Lepisosteus oculatus: one gene and its partners. The protein of the gene in region 1 interacts with the protein of each later gene in a pairwise test. Links are inferred from orthologs where the notes say so. Each region holds a gene or a part of one and is shown in the gene's direction. Other genes may lie near its edges. The genes, in order: max, mxd3, mxi1 and plekhf2.

Region 1 (7,440 bases):
TTCTCTCCCACGGCATTCAGTCATAGTGATTTCACACCTTCTGCTAAATGACACAAATGACTTTATAAATTCTATTGAGCTTTCTGTGGTAGAGAATGAAAAAGCATGCTTAACACAGAAACAAGAAAAAGGATATGAAAAATATCCATAGCTCCAGACATCTCATGTTATTCGTTCAAGTAATATCAGTAGTACGATACAGGGCGTTCCAGAGGGTTGTTGGGTGTTGAAACTCTTGAGAAACTGCTATACCATTAAGGGAAATCTTACATCATCGTTCTGAAAACATAAAACTGTAGTTATCCCTCAAAATATGTTATATATATATAACATACTCCTTAACAAACTTGCCTTCAAAGTTTATTTATTTACTTCAAGGGATTATGACCAGTTAACAATGTGTATTAGTCATTAGTCCATTCATTAAAGATTTGTCTGTCAGTGTTTCATGCTCCCTCACTTTGAGCTTTTAATTTTTTTCAAATGCTTAAAAGCTTAGCTTTTTTGGAAACTCAGTGATCCATTTGATAAGTGAAAGGAAGACAACACACTGTATGGGCATCAAATGTTTAAGTAGAAGACATGGTTATTACAGTACCTGCATTGCATTACATATTCATTCTGTGAAACTGCATATCACATAACAAAGTGGGATGCCATGATGAATCATTAAGCCCCTACTGTTTTCGTCTTGAAATCCTCTGGAAACTCTTTGTGAGTTGGCTTGCACTGAAAGACCCAAAAATGAGTGGGCTGGGATAACTATTTTGCAAAACTCTCACTTTGTAAAAACAACTGGTGGAGTATAATATATTTTTGCACAGCTAACTGAGAGGATTTTGTGTGTATTTGCACTGGGCTTTATTGATGCCACCTTCCACCCCTACAATCTACTCTATAATCTTCTTATCAAGCTACAAATCTCTTGGAATATTTGTTTTTTTAGTATTTTGCTCTAATTTATTGAAGAAGCCCAAGTCTGATGGTATTTACCACAAGAAACACATTTATGTTTATTGATAGACACACAGAAATTCTCCTTTTTCTTAAAAGCTAAGCATAAAACCATTATAAGTGAAATAGTAATTAATTACAGAGGTTTACAGTCATTTTTAGTTCCTGTCCCTTGATTCTTCTTATTCGGAAAGAAACATGGAGGAAGGGTTAGGTCTCTGGACTGAAGTATCAAGGGATTACATCTTGTGTTGGACACTGCTGATGTTATACCCTTGAATAAGGTTCTTAAATCAAAATTATCCACAAAATGCCATACAGTACACATGAATTAGGTCATAATTATATTGCAGTTTCAGTTAAGGTTTTGCCTATTCTTCTATGCAGATTTTTAAAAGCTGTCTCAAGTTGTGTGGGCATTGCTCATGGACAGCAGTTTTCAAGTCTTTGCACAGATTTTCGATAGGATAAAGGTGAGGTGTTTGACTGAGCCACTCAAGAACATTCACAATCTTATTTTTAAGACACTCCAGTGTAGCTTTGGGCTTGTGTTTTGGATCATTGTCCTGGTGAAAGGCGAATTTTTGGCTCTGAAGTAGGTTTTCCTCTGAAGTTTACTAGCATTTTGCTCCATCTATATTCCCATCTCTCTCAATAAGCTTCCCAGTCCCTGTTGATAAGCAGAACTATAACAAAATGCTGCCAGCACCATTCTTGTCAGCAGGGATGGTTTTGACTGAGTGATGCATTATGTTGGGTTTGCACCAGATTTAACACTTTGTGTTTAGACCACAACGTTCTTGTCTGACTACAAAGCCTTTTACCACATGTTTGCAGTATGAATTAGGTGCTGTTGAAAACACCATGCAGGATTTGAGATGTTTTCTCTTTCAGTTTGCTAGCCCAGTAAGTTGAGTGACCAAGACAAACATGTTTCCTCCTTTCCCGGGTGCTCGGTTTGGTAGCCGGTTGCCTTCCACTTCTTAACGATTAACCTCACCAACCTCAAAGAGAATTAAGTGTGTTTGAACTGTGTTATACCCTTCTCCAGATCAGTGCCTCAATGCAACTCTATCTCTGAATTCATTTGAAAGCTCCGTGATCTTCATGTTTGAATCTTTGCTTGAAATTCAGTGCCTGGCTGAATGATCTTACAGAGACAGGTGACTGAAAGTTTACAAATGACAGGATGCCCATCTTGTCCTTTCAGTTACTTTTAGCTTAATGATCTAAGAATTCTATTTCTCCCTCTCTTAAAGAAACCTATTGAATCAGCTTCAACATCACGACTTGAAAGCACGTTCTCTATGTAGTGAATTGCTTCGTGTTTTCTGTCATCAATGACCTTGAAGATGTCCCCTGAGCTGACTTGTTGAATGACTTTCAGGTTTTTGACTAACTGTAACCATTCCCCTCATAATCTTCTCTGTTCTAGTCTAAAATCATTCACTTCCCTTAATCTGTCAGTACAGCATTCCCTTTTGACAGGGGATTAGTCTGGTTGCCCTCTAGAGCTGTAATGGCTTTCTTGTGACGTGCTAACCAAAACTGCACACAATATTCCAGATGAGGTACAGGCACTGTATAATTTTAACATAGCCATAGCTATTTCACCCTGCACCTCACAACTGGCAACCCCTGAAGTGAAGCACCTGTGAGCCTGGCCAGTACCTGGGAAAGCTAAGCTTGCAGCTGGAAGAGGTGTTAGTGGGGCCGCTAGGGAACATTCACCCTGCAGTCTGTCTGGGTCCTAATGCTCCAGCAGGGGGACACTATACAGGAAAAAGGCACTTTCGTTTGCATAAAACGTAAAACTGACTCTTAAAAATCCCAGGGAGTGTCTTGAGAGGAGTAGTGGTGTTACCCTGGCACCCTGGCCAAATTTCCCCCTGGTCTTTACCAATTAATGTGTGGTGAGTGCACTGGTGCACTCTGGCTGCTATCGCATCATCCAGGTGGACGCTACAGATTGGTGGTGTTGAACAAGAGCCTCCGTTACCTGTAAAAGTGCTTTGAATGGAGTGTCCCTTGTACTGTTTAGCTGGAAAAAGTGATGAGCCATAATAAACACCTAGATCCCTTTTATATACAGTACGATTTGCTCTTCCTGGTCCAGCACCACTTTATTTTAATATTTAAAATGTATGTTCTTGCTTTTTGCCTGACACTGGAGTTTGATTTCGAGGACTGAGAAGTTGTCCTACAAAATTTAAAAAGCTGAAAGTAATGGCATTTATTTTTATTATTATTATTGTTGTTGCTGTTGTTTTTAAACACTGGCTTGGATCAGATCCAGATTCAATATATGTGACTGTATGCAAGTTCCAAAGCATTACTTTGATGGCAACCTTTTTTTGCTAGAAGCCTCCTGTTCATACAGTGTACAAATCCCCAGCAAAGGCCTGTTGGTTTTAAAATGCGTGGGCAGGTGGGTTTTCTACTTCTAATTAATAATAATAATAATTAATAATAATAATTGCTTACACTTATATAGCGCTTTTCTGGACACTCCACTCAAAGCGCTTTACAGGTAATGGGGACTCCCCTCCACCACCACCAATGTGCAGCATCCACCTGGATGATGCGACGGCAGCCATAGTGCGCCAGAACGCTCACCACACATCAGCTATCAGTGGGGAGGAGAGCAGAGTAATGTAGCCAATTCATAGAGGGGGATTATTAGGAGGCCATGATGGGGTAAAGGCCAGCATAATTGATCTCATGCCCTTCTTTATATATTGTCATTTCCTTTCACTTTATTATGGAGTGCATCTGATGCCATTTTATGTCCAGTGTATTCTCTGGTGCCAAGAGATTTCAATACTCCTCTTACCCTTTGTTTTATTCTGTCACTTTTTCAAGATAGAAATTTCTGTATTTAATTCCAACAAGTCATGTTCCCACCTACAATGAAAATCTAACTTATATGTAATTTTAGAAATTATAATTTTAAATAATATAATTTATTTCACAGGCATATTTAGATGCCCATCTACAATCATGTGAATTATAACCCACAAAAAAATATATATATATATTTGGGACTTCCCCAAATATGACTTACACATAGTATCAGGTAAGCTGTCTTGAATGGATGACAGCAATAGCACTATAATTATCAACAAAAAGTATTATGCAACACGTTACTAATGGACGACCGCCATCACCCACAGCATTTTGACAAGCAAGCTAGAACTTGGCTTGCAAATGGCCATCCACGTGTCTCTATCATGGCCCCTCGATTTCATTTTTTTGAGTAAACTACACATCCCACTCGCCTTCTGCAAAGGTAAGTCCATGTTTTACGTCCCTTGGAAGCGCCCATTTGCGGGGAGTATGGGTCATGTAGTCCAGTAAGTAATGTTTGTGTATTACGGAAAGAGGCTTTGTTATTCGAAAAACACATTTCCCAGCATTCCAAGCGCTGTCGCACATGCGTGTCACGGTGTGTAAATGTCCGTGTGTAGGCGAGTCACGTGTGGAGAGTCCGTTGATCTCGTTTCGTCCCTGCAGTGAGATTCGCTTGTTTGTTCGTTTCGGTTTGTACTTGATTTTATTTTTTTTAGCTTTTTCTTAATTAGATCAAATATTTTATCGAAGAATGAGCGACAACGATGACATCGAGGTCGATAGTGACGTAAGTGGAAGATAGATATTTCGAAGAATATTAAATATTTAGAATTAAAACGCCTTGTGTTTTTCTGAATTTTGAGCTGCTGTCGGACTGCTGGTTGGTAGAGTTCTAGGAAGAGACTAGCAGTACTGAATGAGACGTTCCGCGGTTTCGGCTTTAAAGCATATCGAAAAAGGAGTCTATTTTTACATACAAGCAACATATGTAGGAGTTAAAGCTATCACTTAACTCACAATTATACAATTGTACTTTTCTGTTTTGTTTTTTTTACAGGAAGAATCACCGAGATTTCACTCTGTGGTGCGTAATATACGGAACGTTTTATCACGCTTAGACTTTTTAAAATGAAAATTGCTACTGCATTGACATTTCAGTATAATTTCCGGGTGGGTAAGAGGAAAAGAGGAGTTGGCTGTAGAGACAGCGATCCTGAATTGCAGGGGACACCTACATCGGTGACGGAAGAGCAGCCTGATTAGAGAACCATCCTTGTTGTACAGCTACTCCTACTAGGCCACCGCACAAGCCTATGAAAAAATAAAACGTAGAAGAGTTTGAATCAACGACGTAGAAATAAAAACTCACGTTGTTTTGCTTAACGCCCGTTTTGCTTAACTCCAATTTACAGTGAAATATTTTTCTACGCATCAAAGGGTAATCCCCAACCCACAAGACACAGCGCGTACCATTTTTAGCCTAGACGAAAATTGCCTGTTTCTTCACCGTTTTTGGCTCAAGATCGCTTTAAACATCAGAAGGAAAAAGGTCAGATACACAGATTGAACTGGATCTGCCTGTGCTTCGATGAGTAGGAACCGACCATAACATTTCGTTTCGTGAAGATCAGATTAGGCTGTTTTCAAAACCCGAAAAGCACATCAGGCTACTGTTCAGCAGCTACGTTTCCTGCTTTAATGGAATAGTTAAGCTGCACATACCGAAGAGATCGACAACGTATAATTAAATATTTTCTTAGGGAATACCTTTTTTTCTGCTTGAATTTAAATACTCGGTTTAGCAATCCATTATCTCGGTGCACCGGTAGATACTGCTTTAAATAGTGCTTAATTGGAATGCAGGTTACGATCTTTGGAGGGGATTAATAGAGGATATTTAACCTTCAGCAAAAAAAATATTAAAGATGATAGGCATAAAAAAACGAAGTGGCCAGCAGAAATACAAGGTGTTCAGGGCAAGTTAAAGGTGCTTCAGTTGCGTTGGTGTTCAACACCGTTTCACATTGACGGCGCAATAAACGATCGGTTGCTGTTGTATTATTTGACGTGTCTGTGCAGTCACTTTGATGTTTAAATCGGTGTACTACGATTTGTCTTTAAAAGACCGGGGATTACATTGCAGTCTGTTCGTGCCATTTTGTGTACCTACAGTTTACATTTGCACGTTCCCTCTTCCATTCTGTCAGTGCATTTTATTTACAAGTGTTTTTTAAATGGCATAAAACGCATGCGTAATACACTTAATAGGAAAAGAGAGGATATGGTTAGCACTAACTCTGTAAATTCAAGAACACAATTACACACTGAAAACGATAGTAAAAATACACATAACAAGTTGCTCTTCCGGTCTCTGCTTATGTTTTTTGTGAAACGATAAAAAAATCTTAAATTCAGAATTAGTGTTATTATACATTTTAAAATACTATATAAAGCCTGCTTTGCTTATTATGCCTTAGATTGTGTCACATTCTAAGGTATATTTTAGAATAGAATAAGGCTACAATTTGATTTTCTAAATGACATTAAAAAAACTTATTATTCCATTGTTGTGATGTAGTCTGCTTTACCATTTCTCTCAAGGAAATGTGATTTGGTATTTGTTCACCTATAAACCAAATAGTTTAAAACTTATGCACAGAGTGCTCATTTAGGGATTCACTCTCAAGTTGATTGAGGGTCAGCATGTGAAAATAAAAGCATTGGAGAGTCCTCATTCACGTACCCCTTGAGTTGTCCTGTTAAATAGACATTCTTCTGATTCTGATTCTTTTATTAAGAGGTTTTTAAAGGAAATCTGAATTACTATTGGGTTCAACAAAGAAATTAATTAAATGCAAGCAGTAAGTGCAATTATATAGATTCATGAAAGCACTGTAGTTCTGTAATAGGTACTTAAGTTGTTAAAGGATGATTGTATTTGGTAGTATAGTAACTAAATGTGGAAGGTAGCTGCTCAAAAAAGGCAGATTAGGAGAAAAGGGCCAAAAATGAATGAGTTAAACTAAGAAATGTGACAGAAAAGTTGTGGAATTGAGGCACCTAACCTAATATGGAACTTCAGGAACTAGAATGGTAGAATATAGTAAAAAAAAAATTGTTTTACTCTAGCCGATGGAATTGTTAGGAGACAGCTTTGTCTAGCAACCAGACCCAAGTTCAGAACAGTTACCTGACTCGTAAGGATACAGAAGTTCATAACGTGATTTTGTTTAAGTATATTTTGAAGACCTTGATATTAAGCATTAAATATGAACATAACGATGGAATAAAGTTAGTATGCCCTTCAAACGCCCCTTCTCAAGATATATTTGTCCATGTGAATCAGGATTTATCAATTCAGTAGATTCAGGTTAAAGAGTAATCGTGGAATATAATTGCTACAGGTGCTGCAGTCATAAAGGAAAGTGGTCACACTGACAAAAGTAGAAATGTTAAAACCATTATAGTGGTCTAGAAACATTGGAGGAAGGTGTTGACCCAAGGGAATGTTGGACCTATTGATTAGTTAGCTAAATGTTAAGCCAAGGTATCAATCATATGGAATAAAGAGTTGTGTCTGTGAAATGAGGTTATTCAGGTCACTACCACATCATATTTCCAACAGATTTCCAAGAG
Region 2 (7,039 bases), on another chromosome or scaffold:
TTTTTTTAGGATAGGAAATTGTAGATGCCTGCTATGTGTTTTATTTAAACAAGCACAGATTGTCACCATTTGGTGACTAAATTTAGATCAAAGTCACAAACCTCTTGCTTTTTGCAGCCTAGTAAATTCCCTTCTTGGTGCATTCCTCTTCGCAAAATGTGATTAAAGCTATTGAAGCCTCCGTCAATTAGACGAATGTGCCAGAGTCTCGAGTCCCGTTTTTGCCCTGAATTAATTTAGCATCCTGGCCGCTCCAGGCTCCGAGTGAGCCAAGCGGAGAGTGACGGATCTAAGGAGAGTGCGTTCTCTCCTGTCTCGCAGCAGAGGGAGAGGAGGAAGACCAGCAGCTGGAGGAAGGTCCCGATCCTGGCCCAGAGGAATGTGAATTGTGTGACGATCTGAACGCCGGAGTTTCAGACATGGGCAATATAGGAGGTAAGGGATTAGGGGGGTCTAAACCTGACAGGGCGCATAGCTGTTAGACATGGATATTTAAGGTAAACTGACCTACTTCTTGTTTTTCAGGGCACTTGCAGATTTGGTCATTCAAGTTCTCTTAAATTAAAACTGCATACTTTTTGTATATGCCTGTGTTCTTGTGTACATTCTGTTTATGCACGCGTATATAAAGGCAGTATTAGGCCAGGATTTTTTTGTATTAACATGAAATGAAACATAAGACGTATTACAGATGTAGCCATCTTCGGATATAATGTTACTACCACAGAAATGTGACTCCTGGTGTTTGGTTTGAGCTACCTAAGTTTTTTTTTTTGAGAGGGGAGGGCAGTTTCCAGAACGGCACCTGTATAAAATGATGGCTTAGATTCCAATGGGATATGAGCAGCTAATGCTTGAGTGCAACATGGTACTGTATACTCTTAGGAATTAAGTCCTATACACATGTTGTTGTAGTCTATTAAAAGCCCCATGTATCAAGTAGTGGATTTGTAAAGGGGATGTTGAGGACTCAAATCCTAGGTGAGGTAATGCTGTTGTACATTTGAGCAAAACGATTAATTGCTATATTAATAGGCATAAAAGTAAGGTTATTTCCATAAAAGCCTCAACCAAGTTAATAAATGACATTAACCCAGAGGTACTGTATAACTCGGGTTCCTTATAATACAGTACTGAAGGGGTCTCTTAAAATGTAAGACTTAATTATCATGCGTTGTTGACAGGAAGCCAGTGCAAGGACTCAAGGATAGGAGTAATGTTATCAACTTTTCATAGCAAGGGCCTCTCTTTATTGTACCGTGAGGCAGCAAATTCAAATCTATGGGTAGAAAGGATACCTTGCAAATGGTCTTTCCCAACCTCCTGAGTTGCTCTTCGGGATGCTACAGTTCCCGTGTGCCAAGGCTTGGTCTGTTGTACCCGACGTTTAGCATTTTACCTTGCATGTCACATCTAGATGGTGGTTTTCACTTTCCATGATAACTTCCCGGAGGAGTCAAGTGTGCTCTGACCCGTCAAACCACACTGAGGCTGAAGGGTGAAAGTCCAGAGCAGCAGCAGCAGCAGCAGGAGGAGGAGAAGAGTGGGCTGTGGGGCTTAAGGTCAGCTCTTGAAAATGCAGCTCTCTCTGCCCCTGCTGGGATTTGGCCCAGGTCTTTTGTGGGATCCAAGCACAGACCTGCCAAGAGACTCTGCCACAGAGGTCCACACCATCTAGGTTTCAGAGATGGGTTCAGTGCACCAGCCCCGTCACATACAGTATGGGGGGGGGAAACTCACAAGCCGTCTCTTCCCTGGCAGGACCGCCCGTCTGGGTGCCCGACAGCGCCTGTGACCACTGCACAGCCTGCCAAGCCCCGTTCACCATCCTGCGCCGGCGGCACCACTGCCGGAGCTGTGGGAAGGTAGGCACCAGGACCGAGGGTTGCGGCCTGCTGGGCGCCGCTCAAGGGGCGTGCTAAACGCTTCGTTTACGCGGCTCTGCTAAAGCTTCGCCAGCCTAACCCAGATCCGAACCTGCTTGCTGGCTTTTGGAGTGAGTGAGGATCTGTTCGTTTTCCGTGTTGCATGTTTTTGATCCTGGGGAGGCAGAACGAAATGGCATGATTTGATTTTTTTTTTCTGGGGAAAAAAAATTGGTTCACTTAGAAGAAGTGTTATCGTTAGAGGATGGCAGAGCGGGGTTAGGGCTGCTGCCTTGCAGTTCTGGGGATCCTGGGTTCAATTCCGGACCAGGGCCGCTACCTGCATGGAGTGTTTGGACTGCGAGAGGAAACCCACACAAATACAAAGTCCCACTGGTGTGCGTGTGCGTGTGCGTGTGCGTGTGCGTGTGCGTGTGCGTGTGCGTGTGCGTGTGCGTGTGCGTGTGCGTGTGCGTGTGCGTGTGCGTGTGCGTGTGTCCTGGTGTCCCAAATGGGCTGTACCCTGCCTTGCTCCCCCGCGACCCCGCACCGGATAATCCTGCCTCCTCCAGCAGAGGACGAAGTCGATGGCCTGGCCTCTCCTGCTCGTTTCAGATCTTCTGTGCGCGCTGCTCCCCCCACGAGGCCCCGCTGCCTCGCTTCGGACAGATGAAGCCGGTGCGCGTGTGCAACCACTGCTACGATTTCCACATCGTGGGAGAAACCACGCCGCTTTGAGAGGAGTGGACGGAAAACGGACTTGATTTGGGTGGGGTGGGGGTGATCTGGAGGGTTTGGTTCTGTGGGGGGAAAAAGCTGGGTGTTCGGTAGTGTGCTTGGCCAATGACTGCAGACTGAGTCACAACTAATCTTTTTTTTTTCTGTATACTCTCTACAGAATTTTAAGTTAGCCTTTGTATGTATTTCCCTTAGATTTTCCCAAGAGTTTTGTAGATCTGTAGTTCCTAAGGCTCCTGTGGCTATCACTGTTCCAGAAATGCATCTGCTCTTCAGCAAGAAAGGTTATTTTTCTTCTAGCTCTGCACATTGTGAAATTCTGGATTTATGCTTTCAAGTATTGAGAGAAACCCCTTTTGCACCATGATGTAGTAATTTCAGGGAATTTCTAGTTAAGTTGCAAACTTCATTAAAACGTGAAAATTGTATTTAATTACATAATGGGTAGAATTTTTTTTAAAAATGTTTTTGTAAAAAAAAAGTCTAATGGAGTTCCTCTCGACAATAAATTTGAAATGTTTAACAACCTAATCTGCAGCACGGGTCTGTGCTCCCTGTGGTTTTATGTAATTTCATAATTTACCAGTAGTGAAACTAAAGTAAGATTTAGCAACGAGAAAACCATCTCCAATGATTCCGTCCTCGTCGCAGTATTACACAGCGTAATTCAGTGCAAATGCCGGAAGACGTCTGCTGCGTTTCAGAAAGTTGGACTTAGAAAGGCAGTCCTTTCACGCAAAGGACCACTTTCCCTCGTTTTCTCTACCTTTTTGAATTTTCAAACTCTTCCGCCTGTTCCCGCCTGCTTGTATTTTTAAACCATCTCTGCAAGACGTCACGTTCCCTTCCCGACCGCCAATCCGGCTACAACACCGCGCTGTGGGGGCGGTCCTTGTCGCCCACTGGCCAATGAAAATCAACGTGTTGGTCAAACGCCAATGTCACACGCAGACGTCCATGTTGAATGCGGCAGAATTAAATGCTGAACGACTTTACTTTTTTTCCCCGAAGTACCGGCTGAATTATTTCCCACTCCTGCCCGAGAAAGGGCTATATTTTGAGATTGACATATCCGTTCATTGATCTGACCAAATGTGGCGAACACCTTCAAAGTTTGGAGCTATACTTTTGCTCTATCGATTACTGAAGTCGATGCAGGGGAAGTGAAAGATGAAGGCTGTGATGATCCTTTTACCCCACCCTGAACTGCCCCTGCAGCCTAGATTCAGCGCCGAGGCCAGTTTGGATGTGCACAACACGATGGTGGTCGGAGGGCTTAAAGGCGGTGGGTAAAAATGAAGTATTTTTAAGTTTACGCCACAACAAAGATGGCACTGTTCTCCTTCCGACGGCGCTCAGGGGGCGTGTTTCTGTGGCTGTCGACGTTGCAAGGGCGCGCCCTAACGTCTAGGGAGGCGGGGGAAGGTGACGTCAGCCTTAAACAAGGCACCTTCGGTAGCACTTTGCACCCCTTCGGCACGGAATTAGTGGGGTTGGTAGGAGGAATAGCTGCACCCATCTTTCCAGTTTGCACGGCCTTTAAAAGCAAGGGGTGGGGGGAAAAATGGAAAATAATAACTGTAACATCCATGTGCTGCTGCAGGCCGCGGAGTACTTGGACAGGCGAGAAAGAGGTAAGTTAGCTCCCAGCTCGGATACTTTCTCTTTTGGCTTGCAGCTCAGACAGGACTGCTGCGTCTGAACTATTCTCCTGTTTTTGTTTTTGTGTGGTGGGGGGGTTCCGTGCAAAATGCAGATCGTATCGAGGTGCAGCTGTTTGCGTCCGCCGAGATCCAGTTTCGGCTGGCCTTCGCGCTGAGCCCGTCCCCCTGGCTGACCCAAATATTATGTTATACAATATTGTTATTGCGCAAAGGCGCCAAGCCGTCACTGGTTCAAAAACCGAGACGAGCCCGGAGCTGGATTTCATCGACGCAGCCCTGCACCGGGGAGGAGGGTAGCTCCTTCTCTCCGATGCTTGAGCCTGAAATCGCCTGAAAATCAGCTCGGTTTTTTTTGTGTGTGTGTGTGCGGCATCCCAAGATTAGCGCTGACCGTGGCGCCAAAAAAGACCGTCTGTGTTTTGATCGCCGGCTGGTTGGGAGGGGGACCTGTCACTGTCGTCGACAAGGCTGCATCAAACCCGCAGAAACGCGCGGAGATGAGGAATTGGGTGCAGCAGCAATGTTACTTTTCCGAGTTACAGTTCAGCGTGTGGGAATATCTCCCCTTTTCAGACGTGTTTGTCTGGTGGGTAATGCTCGTCAATGCGAAAGGCGGCTCCGGTGGAGCGCAGCCCAGCCTGTCTCTAACCCTGTCTGGTGGGGACAGACAAAGAGATTGTGACCCCGGCTTGTTGTTTTTTGTTTTTTTTTTAGAAGCAGAGCACGGCTATGCATCGCTGCAGCCTTTGACTAGCAGAGGGCTGTCGGACAAGAGACACAAACCCAAAACCAGGAAGAATCCGGACAACGTCAGGTAAGGCGCCTCTTGTCCAAAAGCGCGCTGCTTTCAAGTGAAATTATTATTCCCCCCAAAAATATTGTATCGGACAAGCGATTCGGGAACTGTTACTGTAGTTTTGATTACCGTGTTTACGTTTCTAGTTAACCCGAGTTTGGGCGTGGTGCGCTTACTCGGTTGTTAATAGGTTTGCTGTGTTACAAATAAAGTAAAGATTTACAGTACTAAAGGTCTTGCGGTTGATTTCGCCCTCTCTAATCCCAACTCAAACTTCAGGATTTTGTCAAAGGGTTCCCAGAAATATCGTTTTGTGAAGAAGACGGGAAATCTACTCGGGTGTCACCGTGCTCCTGTGATAAACATTATTCCTGAGCGCTCAAGACGTGCGGTTAGACTTGCACTAATTTCCTGCAGTTAAGGGCTGCAGAAGCACAGGCTTGAATAAATCTTAATTTCAGGCCTGTGGTAACGTGGGTTGATGCTTCCGATTCGAAATGGAAAATTGTCATGTACTTAAAATATGCGTTGTCGTTGTGTTTAAAGCATCGCACATAATCTTGTCTGCTTTTTTAAAAAAAAAAATACACCCCATCAGACACTTCTCACGAGAGGAGGAATAATACTTTTTTCAGTGGCCTCAAGAGTTCCCAATATTAGCATTTTAGATAATTCCCAAAGTCGTGTTGATTGAATTGTGGTTTAGTTATACAGCAGACCCTTTTGCTTTTCTTAAGGTAGTTTGATTGACCTGTGCTTTTTTTCTCCCCCATAGATCAGTGCACAACGAGCTGGAAAAGCACAGGTAAAATGTTTTATTTATTTTCTTCCTTGGACCTCTCTACTACAGCTCTTAAATCCCCGTTTTATTTGGCTGGCACTGTAAAGAAAGGGCGAAAAGATCACTGAGCCCACAACACAGTGCAAGCAGAATTTGCGAATGGGCCTGGAATTAGGGCTCAGGCCCTGTGCTCTGATCTGGGATTGTTTTCCACGCGGTTTCGCCAGCGGCCCTGGAGAACGCCGAGTTCCCCCCGGGAGTCCAGACAGGCAGCCCGGCTGCCCTCTCCGGCCAAGCGCCTCGGGGCCGAGACTCAGCTCACTAAGCGCAGCTGGGAGTCGTGCACGTTCTTTCATCCCTTTTAATGGTATTCGTGTCCAGCATCGCTCGCATGCAGTCATCAAGGGGCAGGCGCAGAGTAAAAGAACAAAGAAATCAGAAAGATACAGACACAGAAACACATCTCCAGTCTCCAAATCCCTTCTAAGGCTCTGGTGACATCCGTCCCGCCTCTCCAAATCCACCTCCCTCCCCATCCAGCATGACCTCCCTCCGTCCCTCGGGGGAGCAGTTCTGTCAGAATCTAGAAGAGCAAGGAAAGGCCTTCCGTTCCCCTTCAGAACCGCGCTAAGCCTTTCGCGGGGCAGGACGCTAAACATTTCTCCATACCAACGCGTAACAGAAGGGGTCTTTCTTCTGCTGAATCTCCGGCTGACGGAAAGTACATTTCCCTGCTGAAAACATCACGATCTCTCTCCCCCCCCCCCTCTTTTCTCGCCCTGGTCCCGTGGGGCACAGGCGGGCCCAGCTGCGCCACTGCCTGGACCTCCTGAAGGAGCAGGTGCCGCTGTCCTCGGACTCGGTGCGGAACACCACGCTGAACCTGCTGCGCCGGGCCCGGGTGCACATCAAGGTGAGAGGCGGCCGCGGGCGCTCCAGACCGCGTGTGTGTGCTCGTGACTGCGATGGGCCGTCGGGGAGAGACCCCCCTCCCGTCTGTGGGATTTGTCCCCCTGAATTCGGGGGCCCCTGGTATTGCTGCCCACCCTGTTTCTGCACGAGTGCCCGCATGAGTGTGTTTGTGCGTGCTCCGTTTCGTGCGCTGGGACCCCCGGTGGTGACTGCCCGCTTGTGCGCTGGCATCCCTTCCAGAAGCTGCAGGAGCAGGATGAGCAGGCGGAGAGGCTGAAGGACC
Region 3 (7,614 bases), on another chromosome or scaffold:
TTTTCTGCTCTAACCTCAGCTAAATCATTTATTTCTCACTATGAGTAATACATGCTGCACTGTCCATTCAGAGCATGGGTCATGTAGAATGCAGAATTTAGAATTCTAGCGGGTTTTTTTTTTACATTTCCTGATAACAGAACTGCAACAATAACACATGTTATACTTTACTGGAAAATGCACAATGGAGTATTTAAATATCCTATCTCCTAAATGCTCTTTGAATTATTTGCAGCATCAGAATTATAGTATATGTGAGGAATTATTGTCACCAACACACCTGCTTAACAGAATTCTTGAGTCACTAGTTTGTAGACAAACAGTATTTTGTCATATAATGTTTCATATTTAGATTAAACATTGTTACTTGGAGTATTACACATTCAGAATAAGAACATTTAGAATAAGCGTTTAAGTTAGATGGAATTGAAACAACTGCAGTTTTCCATTTGAAAGGAAACCCATTTTAATAAATGTCACTAGAACCTTTCAATTACAAAGGGTTCATTGAAACATGGTTTCGTTTGAAAAATTCAGCATTCAGAGTGGTAAAAAAAACACGAAAACTTAGCTCTTTTGGAAAAAAAAAACCTCAAAACAATTTGTTTATCAAAACAGGCATAATACACATGCATATTTCCTCAAAGAGACCAGAGTGTCAGTTACATTTTACTGGCTTCTGTTTTACATTAGACCATTCAACACCTGGCAACAAAATGCAGTTAAATAGGAAGTGTGCTGTGAGTTAGAATGGTCATTATATATTTGGGAGACACTGTGGTTTATATATTCATAAAAACCACTACAGTTATCAGAATATCCTTGAATTACCACTCAATACCAGAAATCATACACAAAAATTTAATTTGTAGATATGCAGAGGAGCAAACCCTTAGTAGTACAAGAATTGCCTTCTCTAACAAATATAACTTCCATTCTAATGTTTTTGTGTTAACACTGTGTATTAAAATAAATGTGATTTGTCTTTTTGGGGCAGATAACATTGCAATGACATACTTTGCATGATTGTTTAACTTGAATGTTATCAGTCTTTAAATTTGAAGCCTTAAATACAATGAATGGTTTGCTAGTCTAAAATTCCACTGTCCATTCTGTACATTCAACACTTCTGATATTTCTAAGTTAAATGACAGCATATCAGGGAGCAAACTATGAGTAATGTGAAAGTCCATAGCTCATACCTCAGTTTCAAATACCTAAAGGGTGCATACATTAAAATTTCCCTCTTTGAAAAGAAAAATGTATTTTCATTTTTTAATAAAAACACATTGTCTTCACGTCTTCATAATTTTGCCCCAGTGAGCTCTGCTAAAGACAAGCCATTGTCTTACTGTATTTAATCAAATCAACATTACTAAATGCTATTGTGAAGTTATTATACTGTATATTAAATCAATACATCTAATTTTGATATTTGATTTGAATGTTTAATTGGAACTTAGTTTGTTTTTCCTTATATTACTTTTTTGCCAGCCATATTAGTTGTTGTTTATATCAAAAAATGAAATGAACATTAAAGCTGAAATTAATATGACAAGCTCTGAAATCTCTTTAAAGTGTTGCTGCAATACAAATATTGCCTTGAGTAACATATAGTGATATTGTTTTTGTTTACCATTTGTGTTTGTTATAGTCTGTGTTTTTTCTTCATTAGAGAAGAATGTATACATTTTGATGAATTAGTGCTCAGCTGTGTGTGAATTAAGTTACATCTTGAATTATTTTGTATGTATAAATAAAATAAATTTTAAAACTTTGAAAACAGAATCATGTGATGAAGTAAATGATCACTGTATGTTTGGTAAAAAAACAGAATATCATGTTACCTACATAGGAAATATCCTAATTGCTTTGAAAATAACCCTTTTTATTTAGTCTTCTCTCTTCTTAGAGGATGAGCTATAGTTTTATGGTATTGTTTGTTCTGGTGAAATGGATGAATGAAACAGTTTTGAAATGTTGTTATAGAGGGTAGTAGAAAAGGAACCATGTCATAAATAGCATGGTGGGATTCAATCATGTAGTGAGAGGTCAACACCTCTGAAGTTATTCCAATCGAGCATGTTGGGGGACGTCTCTGGCTGTTTTATTGGTATTTGCAGTGACAAAACATCCCCTGCAAACTCTCAGTTAATAACCACGTACTCATAAATAATACAAAACTATTGAACTAGACCTTACAAATTTAAAGAATTTCTTCTCTTTTTCTTCAGCACCATGTCATTATATATAAGGAATCTAGTCATTCAGGAACATTTCAAATGATCCTCAAAAGAACCTTTGAGAGTTTGTTCTAGTATTTATTTTAATTCAGCACAACAATAGAGTAGGAAATACTACAGCTTTTACAGCTAAAATACACCTGATTTAAAATGTTTCAATCTGTGATCTGTGAAGAAACTGTGAAGATTAAATAAAGATCCTTTGGGATGGTTATCCAAAACATTTGTGTAGCACAGGTGCTCAGTGATTTCCTAGGACTGGGAAAGGCTGGGTTTTGAACTGCTTGCCAGGATCTCTTAATTACACTTAGTCTAGTTGTTATGAACAAAGAGGCAACATCCATTTGAAATGTTGCAGCTGGAAACAAGATACAGCTGGAAATTGAGCTTGTTGGGATGGCAAAACCTCCCTGTGCCCTAACTAACTCCAAAGTCTTGAGAAGGATCGTGTTTGGTCAGTGCATGAGTTAAGGCATGAGGTTTACAATACCTTACTTTTCTATCATCTGAATCTCGATTTTTTTCTGGTGTAGGAAAATATGTCAATGATCTTTCTGTTTATTGAACTTCCAAGCTTTCTATGAACTTTACATCAAATAGCAGCAGCTTGTAGAAGAGCCTTTGAAGTGGCATAGAACATAAAGGGACTGAGCCATTTTTCTCTGCCCTTGAATGAGTAAAAACCTCGCCCTGCTGAGAAAGTCAAGAGGCCTTTGGAAATGGCCCGTGCGGATCAATCCGCTCTTTCTTTTTGTTTTCCTGGTTTTCGTCAGGCAAATCATGTCTTTCCCGCTTTTCCTAATTTTAAACAGGAGTTAAAGATATTTTATTTTGGGCTTGGTTTTGTGCACACCTTGTTAAGATGCAAACTCTTTGAATCTTTTATTTAAATGTCGTTAGAAAACCTTAGATTTGTTTACAAGTAAACAAACTTGCATCGGCACCATAGATTAAATTAATAAAATGACCAACTCAAATCACACAGTTAGCAAAATAAAGAAAGGGGAAGATTAAAAGTGAAAACATTACATATTCAGTTAGACTCGGTAACTTAAAGCATTTGGTATCAGCGTTCTTGATCATACGGCTAAAAATGTCGCTACAGACTCTTTTAACGTGTTTTCAAAAACCACGTTGTACTGTGTCAGAAGCGAAGAAAAATTACATTATTGTCATTAACAACATTGTCATCGACATGTCATTTACATGACAATATCGCGAAATTGCGAGAACGTGTCGTTAAACGGCTGTTTTAGAAATAGGCCTAATCGAGTGAAAAGAGTGCAAATTAGGTGAGAATCATCACCTCTCAATACATTTTAAAAGGGGACAGTGAGCAACGATAACCTCTGTTCACCTGCTGTGTTTCAACCTGTGGAAACAGCAGCAGTCCAGAGCTATCAGTGTAAAGGGTTACTCTATCATCACATACAATATTGCCTGCCCTCCTGGAGTCACAAAGGAATCTAATACCTATACACGGTAAGCTAAGGTGAGCAGGTAACGTAGACGGTTAAGAGTGAGGGACGTATTTTTAGTAGAAATTACAGACTCAAGGCTGCCATTGAAGTGCTAAAAGTTTAATTGATTTCGCAGACGGTGATACTGTATAAAAATCCTAGAAACGGTTATTGTAGCTTTCCACATCTGTAGTTTGTAATAATATTTATTTTACACGCATATTCCTTAACAGAGAAAAGAAAGACGGGAAATTTAGCACCAGGTCTTGTATTTTTTTTTTTACTTTCAACTGTTCTGGTGTATTGTATAAGAAATGCATCTGGCAGAAGATTAAATCTGCAGGGGAATCAGATAAATTTGAAATGTTTTCCAAAGTGTAAGGCTTGGTCTGGCAACATTGTGTGTAAATGAAGATCGCCGTATAAGGGGGAAATACCATTGTTATTTTAGTTCTGTAAGAAGTGGGGTTAAAGGTTGACTTAACCAGAGGAAAGTGCGGTCCGGAGTGGAAACGGTGAACAAATGTGTTAGGTCACAAATGTATAATTTTGAGTCTGTGTTCAGGGGCAGGGAGGAATGGGCATCTATTATTTTGATCCTTTCACTATTCTTTTCAAAGTGTCTCTCTATACACCGTAGGTTAGTTTTATTGACTTAGCACATATTAGGTGGTGCTGACAGGAACAATCGATTTACAACGTGAAAAGCAGCTTCGAGCTGCTGGGTGCCCTGTAGCAGTAGATAATATTCGACTCAGGTTCTCAAGCTGGCTTCGTCAGATCAACACGCCGTGAAGAGGGCGGTTAAATGACATTTCAAGGCGCCAATGCTTGACTTCAGTGCGCCTATGGGAGGAGTTTAGGCTAGTGGATTACAACGTGGATCGTTGTATTCTTCAGGCACAGGGACCTAGAAGGCAGCGACTGGAGACGCCATCCATAGATTTCACCTTTCATTCATTGATCGCCTTCTAAAGAAGCCGCACAACAGAATAGCTGACCAAAGATTTACTTTCAAGCAGCAGCGATTTCCCTTAAAGCAAAATCAAGATGGTTAGAAGTGAAAGGCAAAAGAGAGAGCTTAAACCTGACGATGTGTTTCTGGAATCCGAGACATCAATGGATCAGCAAGATTTCAGCGAGATGTCTAGCTGTCCTTTCGACATATTTCGCTCCAACGATTCTGCTATGGACCAGATCGACACTTTTCTGAAAAATGTGCAAGTTTTGCTGGAGGCAGCAAGTTACATAGAAAATAACGAGAAGAAAAATGGAAGTAAGTGTTTGTGTCTGGAAAGGGGACTTTAAATTGTCGGAAAGGTTTTAGGAAAACTGAATTGTCATGATACCAGTCGACTCAGACAACAAAGGACTTCAGTTGAGCAGAGAACTACTTACAACTAGATGTGAACCACGCAGTGTTATAAGATTTTCTTCACATTTTTAAATAATCTAGAATTAAAATGTTTTATAAATACGCGTCTAAAGAACTCTTTTCCTGATTTTTGAAGTTCTACTGTGTATATATAGTGCATCCACGCTGCAAAGACTATTTAAAGAAATGTGGAGTGAAAAAGTTGGCACTTCAAACAGAAAGACCACTATATTTATCCTAAAGTATACGTACTGGATTACAGATTTAAAAGGAATATTTATTAACTAAATGTGCATTTTAATAAAAACTTTAGACATGTATACAGGACAAAGAACATAAAAAATAGCTTTTTGCTACACATGGAGAATCTCCCAAGTTAAATGTAATGAGATCAAATCATCATAATTTTTCAAAGTGGCAAGCAGATACTGTGAATAAATTGAGTTCGGGAGTTTCGTATGTTTTAAATAGAGTTATTGTTCTGCGATGCAACGCCCCAATAAACTTGAGAATGAATAACACTCTGCAAAACAAGCAGACGGTGACTAATTCAATAACGTTCATGCGCCAGAAAGAATTGTAAGGCACTGGCTTTTGAATGGTATAGCGTGTCTGCTACGGAGAAAGACGTTTTCCAGAACCACACGTTTGAGTTGACTAAAGGAAAACGTATTCTTTCACTAGTGGTACATCGTACCCCTTAAAAAATGCTAACTCAATCATTTTTAAGAAGAAACCTCTTACTAAGAAAATCTTTATCCTTGGCATTGGATTATGCTTACATACAGTAATTATGCTGCTGGACTAGCAAGAAGAGACTGTACGCAATTGGAATTTAATAGAGTAGTAGTACGCTGAATTGTACTATACAATACTAATAATAGCAATTCTTATTTAATATTTGTAAACATCAATAATACAACAAACGCCGGCCTATACAAGGAAGCCTCGTTATAAAAGCGGAATAAAGTGTTTCATGAGGAGCATTACGCTCAGGTTGAAACATGAAGCTCCTTCACAGACTACATAAGGCCGTAGGTTTCGTAGCTTCCTAAATGCACTTGAAATCGGTGTGCGTTGATATAGGATGTAAGCATTTGATTTTGTATGCCTACGCGAAATTACACTAATCAGACCGAGTTTTACAATCTCACGCAAATAATTTTGTATCCTGTTGCTATTAATATCTGTCATCCTTAACTGATGTCGTCATTTATGCGTCTTACGGATTTCTACACAATGCAGTATTCTGAACATTTCAGATGAAAAGTCCTAAAGATAGCACTGTGGTTGTACTTTACATACTTAAAAGGGAATATCTCCGTAACCACCCTCCCCCAAAGATTACGTAATTCATCTATTTTATTTTTTTCTATATTTCCAATAAGTTGAGCGTGTTTAAGATAACCACCAAACATACAAACCAACAATCGAGTTAAAGAATTTAAAGTTACAGAATTAAACATTTAATTTTGTTTTATGTGCGTATCTAATTATATTGGAAGAAGTAAGAACGCAGCACATAACCAAATAATTCATAAGTAACCAAAACAATAGCCTTCAATCAACTCCATGAAGCCATTTTAATATCGTATTATTCCTGCGGCAATTTATTCTGCTTCCTGGTGTTAGCTGGTGTCTCACATGGTTTCCACATGGATACAAACTCGCCCCTTGTGATTGGTCCAGCGAGAGGTCCGTGGCCGTACTTACTGACGTAGGCATCCAGTCAAATTCCTCTTCCTTATTGACGTCATGTGTTGCTGGGCCTGGCCTCTTGTGGCTGGAAAACGTGTTCAAAGCATGGATTTATGGGATATGTAGGCTTGGAACAACCTGCTCTGATTTTAAAGAAAAATATATGTACCGTATTAGGGAATAGGGAAGTCAGAACGGTGTAATTGTGGCATTATTAACAGGTAAATCACGAGAACCTTAGAACACCTCTAGAGTTTAGACATACTGCTGATAAACCTTTTAAATTGAATTGCAAGTGCATCTTGGGTACGTGCATTATAAAGTTTTTTTCATCAATATGTTTTTAACAATATATACGCCATAGAAGTCAATACCAATACTGGTTTTCTCAACAGAAGGGTGAAGATAGAGGATATATGGGTAGAAATTAAGCTGTGAAAGTAAAATCAGATACATCTGGCATCAAGGAAGTATTGAGCTTGTTTTTCTGAAGACTGGGTTGCTCTGATCAATTAGCAACTGAATGAGCAAGATAAACAGGATGACTTCGTCTCCAGTCTTATGTGCTGAAGATACTTAATGTATAAGCAAGCATATGGCTCGGCCTCTCTGAGATGCATATCGCATTTTTTTAAACCCACCGAAAATATTTTAAGAAAAGTGACTGTCATCTGTGTATCAACAATAAACTTAAGTAGGACAGCAGTAAAATCGGCTAAATCCTCAAGTCTAAGCTCCTCAAGTTCTAAATGACCTGCGATGATTAAAAGGCCACTATGCATCATCAGTACAAACGCACTGTGGGGTTTGCGAGTTCAAACATCATAGGACGCAACGC
Region 4 (7,953 bases), on another chromosome or scaffold:
CGAATTAGGCCAACATCCATTATTTATCAGTATGCAAAAGAGAGCAATCAAATATCGATTAAACCTGAGAAACAGCAAGCAGAATTTGAACCAAAACAACACAATTAGCTGAGCCCAGAGAAGAGCCCCCTCAGCCAGCTGGTCCTGAATATCATTGACACCAATCAGCCTCAGGAAAGCAGAGCTTCAACAATCAAAATCAACCAAATCACAGCACAAACCAAACAACACTACCTTACCCACTGGGGCACACACACAAACACAACACAAACTGGAATGCTACAGAACCCTCAACAGAAATACACACTAGCTGAAGCAGCAAGGAGAAACAGACAAAGCAAGGAGAAACAGACAAAGTACAGGTTCAGTGACCACAATCTAGCCATAAAAACCGAGCGACACAGGCAAACCTGGCTGCCCAGAGAGGACAGGCTGTGTTCCAACTCCCCGCAGGGAGAAACAGACAGAGATGCACTTTCTATTTCATTGTGACAAATATTCTGGGATCAGACAAATATTCTTCTCAAAAATAACAAATCTAATCCCAGACTTTCCATACCTGCCAGAATCAGAAGAGTTCCCAATCCTACTGGGACAGGAGGGAGGGAATTCAGTTGAGACGGCCACACAGTACATGATCTCCTGTCACAGCCTGAGGCACAGTGAGCCTGTCTCTCAATAATGCTCTATTTGTTGTATGTAAATATACTATGTTGTATTTCTATTAGTAATGTACATAGATGTTGTATTGATTGCATATGCTTAGGCAACACTGTAATTTACCAGTCACGCCAATAAAGCTGTTTGAATTTGAAACCAGAGCACCCAGGGGAAATCCACACAAACATGTGGAGAACATACAAACTCCATATAGATAGCACCCCAGGGCCGTAATTGAATCCAGGGCCCTAGCACTCCAGAGCTATGTTGGAGCAGTGCTGTCCACTGTGTCACCATGCCTCCCATACAAGTTTAATTCCTTGATGTAAAGAGTATAACTTTCGATTTTCTTTTTATTGCTTCCCCAGATAAGGTTTTCATTGATCATTTTTTCAAATTCTGTGTTTCCCATCTTCCCATTCCCTATCTGATTATTTTTTCTATGATCTTACACGTAAGAGAAGTGAGACTTACTAGCCTCTAATTACATGGTTCAGTTTTGTCACTCTTTACATAGATGGGTGCTATATTAGCAACTTTCCAGCGAATGGGTGTTACACAAGTCCCAAATGATTTTGCCCATCCCTTTCTGCTGAGTAGTTGTTGGTCTGTGGATTTATTGCTTTATACCTCTTTAATTTTAATATTAAACCATTTGTTTATTCAGGTCCATTCTCCTTATTTCACACATTGAATGCAGAAAGGTGAGTACTTTCATCTCTGTAAGTATGGAATTGGAATCTCGTATTTTTTAATGTATTCCAGGACAGATACTGAACTGAGTGAACCCACTGAGTCAGGTCTTTTAGTCCACTGACGATGACAGGATGTGACAGGAACACTGTGGTTTGATTTTAACTCCATTTCATGCATTTTTAAAAGTAGGAATGCCATTTCAGTGGCAAATGATTTAAATAATAAACTTTTTGTTTTGAATCTTTTTTCTCAAAATAACTGTACTTTATAAGCAAGCGAAAAGGAATTCTGAACTTAGTGTCACAGACAAAATTTAAGAGCTGCAGAGTAAAACCTAAAAAGAATATTTGATTTAGACCTTCAATACAGCCTTTAAAAGACTTATATTTTGGCATTATTTTATACCTGTTGCAATTTACTTTTAAATATTGCCTTGGGAAACCATTAGAGGCATTTTCTTATGTGTACACTGTGTATGATGTTAGTGAGTGTCAGCTTCATCAAAGTCAGCAGCTGTAGTCTCCTTCTCATTAAAAACCTATTCTGTACTAGAGGGATTCCTCCTAACATATTCACTAATAACAGCTGCCTGAAGAAGATGGTCTCAATGTAGTCTGGAGTAGCATACAAACCAGTAAACAGACAACACTACTATAATGACATTTATTAATGCACATCTTATACTGTTATGGAAGAAGAGCAATGATGCTGTGTATAACACTGCTCATCCTCCAGTTAATGTGGGGAAGCAGTAAAAAAGGAGAAAAAATGTTAGTCAAAGGCGTAGAATTTAAACGATAGTTTGTTATTTTAATTTTGTGTAATGCATTAGTAAGACCTCATTTAGAATAGTGTGCATAGTTGTGGTCAGCATGTTACCGAAAAGAAATCGTTGCTCTGGAATCAGTCCAGAGAAGAGCAACCAGATAGATTATTGGGTTTAAGGGAATGTCCTACACTGACAGACTGAACGAACTGGACCTTTTTTAATCCTGAACAAAGGAGACTATGAGGGGACCTGAGACGGGTGTCCAAAATTATCAAGGGCACAAAAAAGTCAAGACATCCTCAGAATGAACAGTGAAACATGAACCATAGGGCACAAGTGGAAATTGCTCTGAAATGCTGAAACTGTGACTGGATGGGAAGAATGACCTCCTCTGTTTTGTAACTGTGCTTTAAAACAAACCAATACTACTGTAAGTACCCTGCCTAGATATGTTCCTTTTTAAAAGCCTTTGGTTACTTTTAGGGTTAGGTTTGGGATTCGGGTTAGGGGATTCTGAATTGATAGTCAGGTTTAGGGCTATTCATAGATTTGGAATAGTATGCATAAATGTACAGGAGTGCTCAGTATCTGTGCTGGCCCTCACCTCAAGAGAGTTCTCATTTACCAGCCAGATAGCTGTGGGGGTTGTCACTTTCCCCCATAGCCAGTTATGCACATTTCCTCAGAAAAAGACTTGTGAGTTGCCGTGTGGAGCTGTGGGGGCGTGACTGTGAGGGGCCAGCGGGGAGCAGTCCAGTCGTGTTGTAACAGGAATTCCAGGTGCTCGCTCAGGGGGGGCTTCAACAGTCGTGCACCATGCCAGCCTGCAGGCAACTAGTTCTGCGCTGGACTCGCCTCTGCAAGTCCCCCCAACCCCACTGGCCTGGGAACCCGTTCCCACCTGCTGTCTCCACGTCCCACACCTGTGAGAGCACGTCCAGCTCTTCCACTGCGCCGTCGCCGTTAACCATCGGCCGCGCAGGAGCACTGTTTAACACACAACAATTACCCGTCTCTCCAGATATTTAATTGGAATGCACAGGCAGCACGCTTGAACATTTTGTTCAATGTGTCGCTGTCACGCCAGAAGCTCCCCAGAGGGCCGCCATCTCTCTTCAAAATGACTTTTAATTTCAACCTTTTCATCTTGCTCTTGAAAGATAATGATCACTTTTTTAAAAAGGGGTTACATAAGGCATACCGTGTGTCAGACTGGACACTCATGGTTGAGTGCTCCCCATCTTTCTCGGGGTTCTGAAGAAATTTGAACCTCCTGCCCTCACGCTCCTACTCTGTATACCTTCAGTTCTAGTGTTGCGTTGCTGCAGTGTAATAAAACACTATGTACATTGTTAGTAAAACATTGCTCCAGATTGTCTGGCCACAAGTGGACATACTGTATTTAACTTATTTGCTTCATTGCTTTAACATTTATAGCGACTGAAAACAAAATCCCTAAAATTAGGGAATTATCCCTGAAAGCAGCAAACCTGGCTTTCTGGATATATTTTTTTACAATTCTCCTAATTTGTAATTTGATAGAAATGAATATATATATACAGTAAATGTCTATGTATATTACACAGTATATATGACTGCGAACTATAAACAAGTAGCTTTTAGTCCCACATTTGCATGTACAAATTGATGAGTGGCACATGTTATGAGATTGTTAAATAGCAGGAACAGTTCAAAAAAGGTGTGTATGCCAGTTTGTAAAGGTGGCTGTGTTATCTAATTTTCATGGGATATATTAATGCATTTCACGAGGCACCATATTGAGAAAAGTTAAGAAAGCCTTCCAGGCTTATAATATGGCTTCAAGTTGTCTGTTGGGTTTCACATGAGCCGGCAATGCTGTTTGTGCACTTAGTAGAGAGGCTCTAGATGTTGTGGACTTAGTAGAGAGGCATATATGGGACAGAATTACATAACAGATTAAATATAAACCATATGTTCTCTGTGCAGAAAAACTATATCACACTATGAATTCCAAAACACAAAGGGATCATAAGCAACATGTTCCAGGCTCCCTAGGTAGTGAGATACCAAGTCTCCAGTTTTGTTTAGTTTTCAGTGCTGTTTCAGTGCTTATTGGAAAAACAAACACCAACTTTATTTCTATTTTATGCATAGTTGACGTTAAACGATGTTTTTTTATTCGAAAAACACTTTTATAATTCATCCAGTTAAATGATGTCCAGATGTGACGTTTTAAGAAATTCGTTTTTCTATTATTATCTGCTGTATGTATTTGACATTTCGGCTCATTATTACAGTTCATTACTAGCAGCACATATGTTAAGCGGAAGACGCCTGGATCAAATTGTTTCCAAGAGAATAATGTAAAGAAAAACAGATATGAACCTTAAGCTATTTCAAAGATTAATCGTTGTAGCAATGTGCAGATCATGCAATGTCATAAGTCCATTTACTACCGGCAATCTGAAGGCCAGTCTTTTCAGTTCTGTAAAAGATGTTTACAGAACACATATATGTTTTAATAAGGCCAGATAACGTTTCCCTTCCGAAAACGCTGAACTGTTTTTTTTTTTCACCAGGGGTCAGGGGAGCGCTGACTTGAAACAAGGCACGCGCGATTTAGTCATAGTCACACCACCAGTGTGGCCGGGTATGCCCTCCCCAAATAAAAAAGAAAACACCACATGGAAAATACATTGAAACAAAAATGACGGAAAAAAATGGCAACACCCTCCAGCCAGAAATTCCCGCTCGTCTCAGCCTTCTTCAAAACGTGAACGCGCAGTCACATCCCAGCCTTCCTGCTGCGCGCACGCTGCGTGCGCGGTGACGTCACGGCGGCCGCCGCTGCGGGAGCCATGTTGTTATTGCCCGTGAAGTGCTAAACTAGCTCCTGGGAAAGAAGCGAGGTGGAGGTAGGGGGGCATCAGACAGCGAGTTTAGTCTGTATCAACGGAAGGAGTAACAAGTGGCTTGGAAGTTTCAGCCAGAAGCTTAAATTGGGTAGGTGAGTTTGATTTGTTCTTGCTCAGTGTGCGTGTGTGCGCGCTGGTTTCTAGCGTTGCGCTTGCGAAAGTAGGGGTTTTGAACTTCTCAAGTCATTTTCTTCCTAAACTTCACTACAACCAGCGACACTTGGAAATGTGACAGTGAAGGGGGGGAGGGAGAGAGGGAGGTGGGGTAAGGCAGTGAAATTGAAAACGAAGTTGCTGATGTTTCCTTTTCGGTTTGGGTGCTTATTGTGTTGGATTAATCGGCCGAGGGGAGTCAAGTTACAGAGTCGCGGGCTGCGAACTTGAGTGAAAGAAACTGGAGACTTGAAAAGCTGGAAATGGATGCAGTGCTTTAAAGTGGCGAAATCGAACACCATTCACGAAGGCTGGGTGGGGGTGAGATTGGGACCGAGGTGATCGGTCAGTATTTCCACATGTGTCTGTGAATCATTCGGGGATCAGCCCGGTATCTTTGACAGGGACAAGTGGCGATCCCGTGTCAGCCTCCCAGGATAGTGGCTTTGCTCGAAAAATCAGCCGACAGTTCTGTCGGTGGTTTTAAAAATTCTCTGTCTAGCGTTGTCCGAAAACAAAACAAAACAAAAACGTGTCGTGTGAGCCCGTCCCTGTCCTGTCACCAGAGATTTAGCACGCCTTTCCGAGGAGTGTCCCTTCGTCTGGATGGAAGGAGGCTCGTCTCCACAAAACTGCTTGCGCTCCTGACCCGGACGGGGTGTCCGCGGTGTGATCGCCGTGAGCAGAGTTAAAAACGCGCAGCACCGCGTCTCCTCTCGGGATATTGTCGATATGACCCGCTCGACTGGGTCTGGATCTGTACCGTGAGACCTCCTGGGCTAGTAAGAGTTCAAAAGCACACTCTCCGGACCTTACGCCCCCTGCTCTGTGGAAGCGCGCTTTCTGCCTCTTCCCGAGCAGAGCCGGACTTCAGACCGTGTCTTCAAATGTAACTCGTGATGGAGTTTGGTCTGGCTGTCCAGCGCGTTTTAAAACAGCCGGTATGTGTTGGACGTGGTATGGTGTTGGTACTGTATCTACACTGCTACACTCGCCACGCGTCTTAACATCAAGGACCCCGGTGAAGGATTCAAATGTGCGTTATACAGTATATTGGACTAGGGTAAGGATTGAAAAGATATGCAGAGGATGACGATTTCAATGAGAAGTTTTGATTGGTGGTGGTAAACATTAACCAGAGCCCTCCTTCAGCCGCTCTTTTGCATTATTTATGTGAAGCATACGTATTGAGCCATGTCTAACTTAGCGTAGATAGGTTTTCTGTAAAAAAAAACAAAACAAATCTTACCGAGACACTTTAAAACATTCTGATGAGGCAGGCACCTGTGGGAATCAGTTTTCTCATCAGTATCGTGGTGTTAAGGTGGATATATTGAGAGTCCTCTCATATAATTCATCGACCATCTTTCACCATTTTTTTTAAAACTTCCCCTAAAATAATGCTTATGACTCGCACATCAAAGCTTATTCTAATTTATGGGCAGTTAAGCTTGTCATAATTAGCATGTTTGGGGTACTTTTATGTTTGTGCAGTGTCTTAACGGAATTATTTGAGATGTAAAAAGGTTTATAGCTGACTTTTCCCCTTGTGTGCACAGGCAGTTTTCAATGCACATTTCTATACTAATAGGATGGTGGTTGTTTCTTTTTTCAGTTGATATGAGCATGTGAAACTAATGTATAGAACATCTGTTATCGATATCCTGTTCAGAACCCAAGACAGGTTACAAACGAGAGGGGGCGTTGAAAATGAAATCTTTAGTCTAGCCAGGCACTGTCCCGATGAGGTGATGGGATGATACGTTTTGCTGACAGTGTACATTCATGCCCTGCTTGTACAGCAGGACCTACAGTAATTAGCATGTTAAGAGTTTGAATGTTGCCCTATGGAGTCAAGACTCTCTTGAAATCTGGAAGAACACAGAAATGCAAAGGAAACAAATTAATGATAAACTGTTGGCAAATTTTACAGGTCAAACTGAGATGAAAACTGTGATAGGACACTGAAAATTTTAAAAAGGCATGTTGGTTAATTGCTCAAAAGATGGGGAAATTCTGCTACTACTGTATAATCCTTTTCAGGCTTAGGTGGTTCAAGACTGCAATTACATTTTAAAGTTTTAAGTGTCTATAAGGCTTTTTTTTCTCTCACACCTGGTCTTACATACGAGTATGGACTTTTTTAGATCTTTGTACACGTTTCTAAAATGTAAATATATGTTCCCATCAGTATTTTCTGTATGTTGTTTACTGGATGTAAAAGAGGCACTTTACCTTTCATTTGCTAAAAAAATAGACTTTTATTGACAGTAAAAATATTTAGTTATTGTTTATGCAGGTTTAAAGGAGGATCCAGAAATAAAGAAAATTGTTTGAATATATCATAAATATTGATAATTTAATCATTCTGACATATTTCTAAATAGAACCTACCGATGCTTTCGTGTAGATTTGTGGAACGGTGAGTTTCTTCAGAGCAGTTGTAGTCCTGAAACCTTAGATACCCACCAGCTCACCAGCCACCACTAAACCTGAAACAGTGTGGGCTGTTTAACAGCATTTGGGTTGACTAATTAATTGCAATGAGAAGGTGTACAATTGTACTGTCTGGTGTCCCTGAAAAGATCTGGTCACAGTAAAATTTTTAAGAAGGGTCAAGATTCTTTACCTGCTTCACTGGATTGTTTTGAAAGGGGAAACATTTTTACATGCTAATTTAATGCTGTGATTTTCAGTAGTGCAGTTAAAAAACGACTGTATGTCTCTTAATAGAAACCTCAACAGGGAGCCACAGTAGAGAGGCATTTGTTAATAAAA

What was found.
Region 2: the proteins of max (region 1) and mxd3 interact in a two-hybrid assay, tested with the Homo sapiens proteins (4 studies listed by BioGRID). The link is inferred for Lepisosteus oculatus from reciprocal best matches to the Homo sapiens genes MAX and MXD3.
Region 3: the proteins of max (region 1) and mxi1 interact in binary tests that used the Homo sapiens proteins (3 or more experiments, as listed by UniProt). The link is inferred for Lepisosteus oculatus from reciprocal best matches to the Homo sapiens genes MAX and MXI1.
Region 4: the proteins of max (region 1) and plekhf2 interact in binary tests that used the Homo sapiens proteins (3 or more experiments, as listed by UniProt). The two-hybrid records come from large-scale screens. The link is inferred for Lepisosteus oculatus from reciprocal best matches to the Homo sapiens genes MAX and PLEKHF2.

What each region holds. Positions count from the first base shown.
Region 1 is NC_090703.1:15,578,988-15,586,427, reverse strand, and holds the start of max (protein max), read left to right. Parts: upstream 1-4,425; 5' UTR 4,426-4,555; coding exon 4,556-4,591; intron 4,592-4,861; coding exon 4,862-4,888; intron 4,889-7,440. UniProt on the Homo sapiens protein: Transcription regulator. Forms a sequence-specific DNA-binding protein complex with MYC or MAD which recognizes the core sequence 5'-CAC[GA]TG-3'. The MYC:MAX complex is a transcriptional activator, whereas the MAD:MAX complex is a repressor.
Region 2 is NC_090706.1:38,087,202-38,094,240, forward strand, and holds the start of mxd3 (max dimerization protein 3), read left to right. Parts: upstream 1-4,028; 5' UTR 4,029-4,167; coding exon 4,168-4,237; intron 4,238-4,981; coding exon 4,982-5,081; intron 5,082-5,838; coding exon 5,839-5,868; intron 5,869-6,642; coding exon 6,643-6,757; intron 6,758-6,996; coding exon 6,997-7,039. Other genes in the region: lateral signaling target protein 2 homolog, read left to right, coding at 322-435, 1,762-1,865, 2,481-2,603. UniProt on the Homo sapiens protein: Transcriptional repressor. Binds with MAX to form a sequence-specific DNA-binding protein complex which recognizes the core sequence 5'-CAC[GA]TG-3'.
Region 3 is NC_090699.1:39,856,265-39,863,878, reverse strand, and holds the start of mxi1 (max-interacting protein 1), read left to right. Parts: upstream 1-4,598; 5' UTR 4,599-4,753; coding exon 4,754-4,979; intron 4,980-7,614. UniProt on the Homo sapiens protein: Transcriptional repressor. MXI1 binds with MAX to form a sequence-specific DNA-binding protein complex which recognizes the core sequence 5'-CAC[GA]TG-3'. MXI1 thus antagonizes MYC transcriptional activity by competing for MAX.
Region 4 is NC_090705.1:16,735,822-16,743,774, reverse strand, and holds the start of plekhf2 (pleckstrin homology domain-containing family F member 2), read left to right. Parts: upstream 1-4,950; 5' UTR 4,951-5,114; intron 5,115-7,953. UniProt on the Homo sapiens protein: May play a role in early endosome fusion upstream of RAB5, hence regulating receptor trafficking and fluid-phase transport. Enhances cellular sensitivity to TNF-induced apoptosis.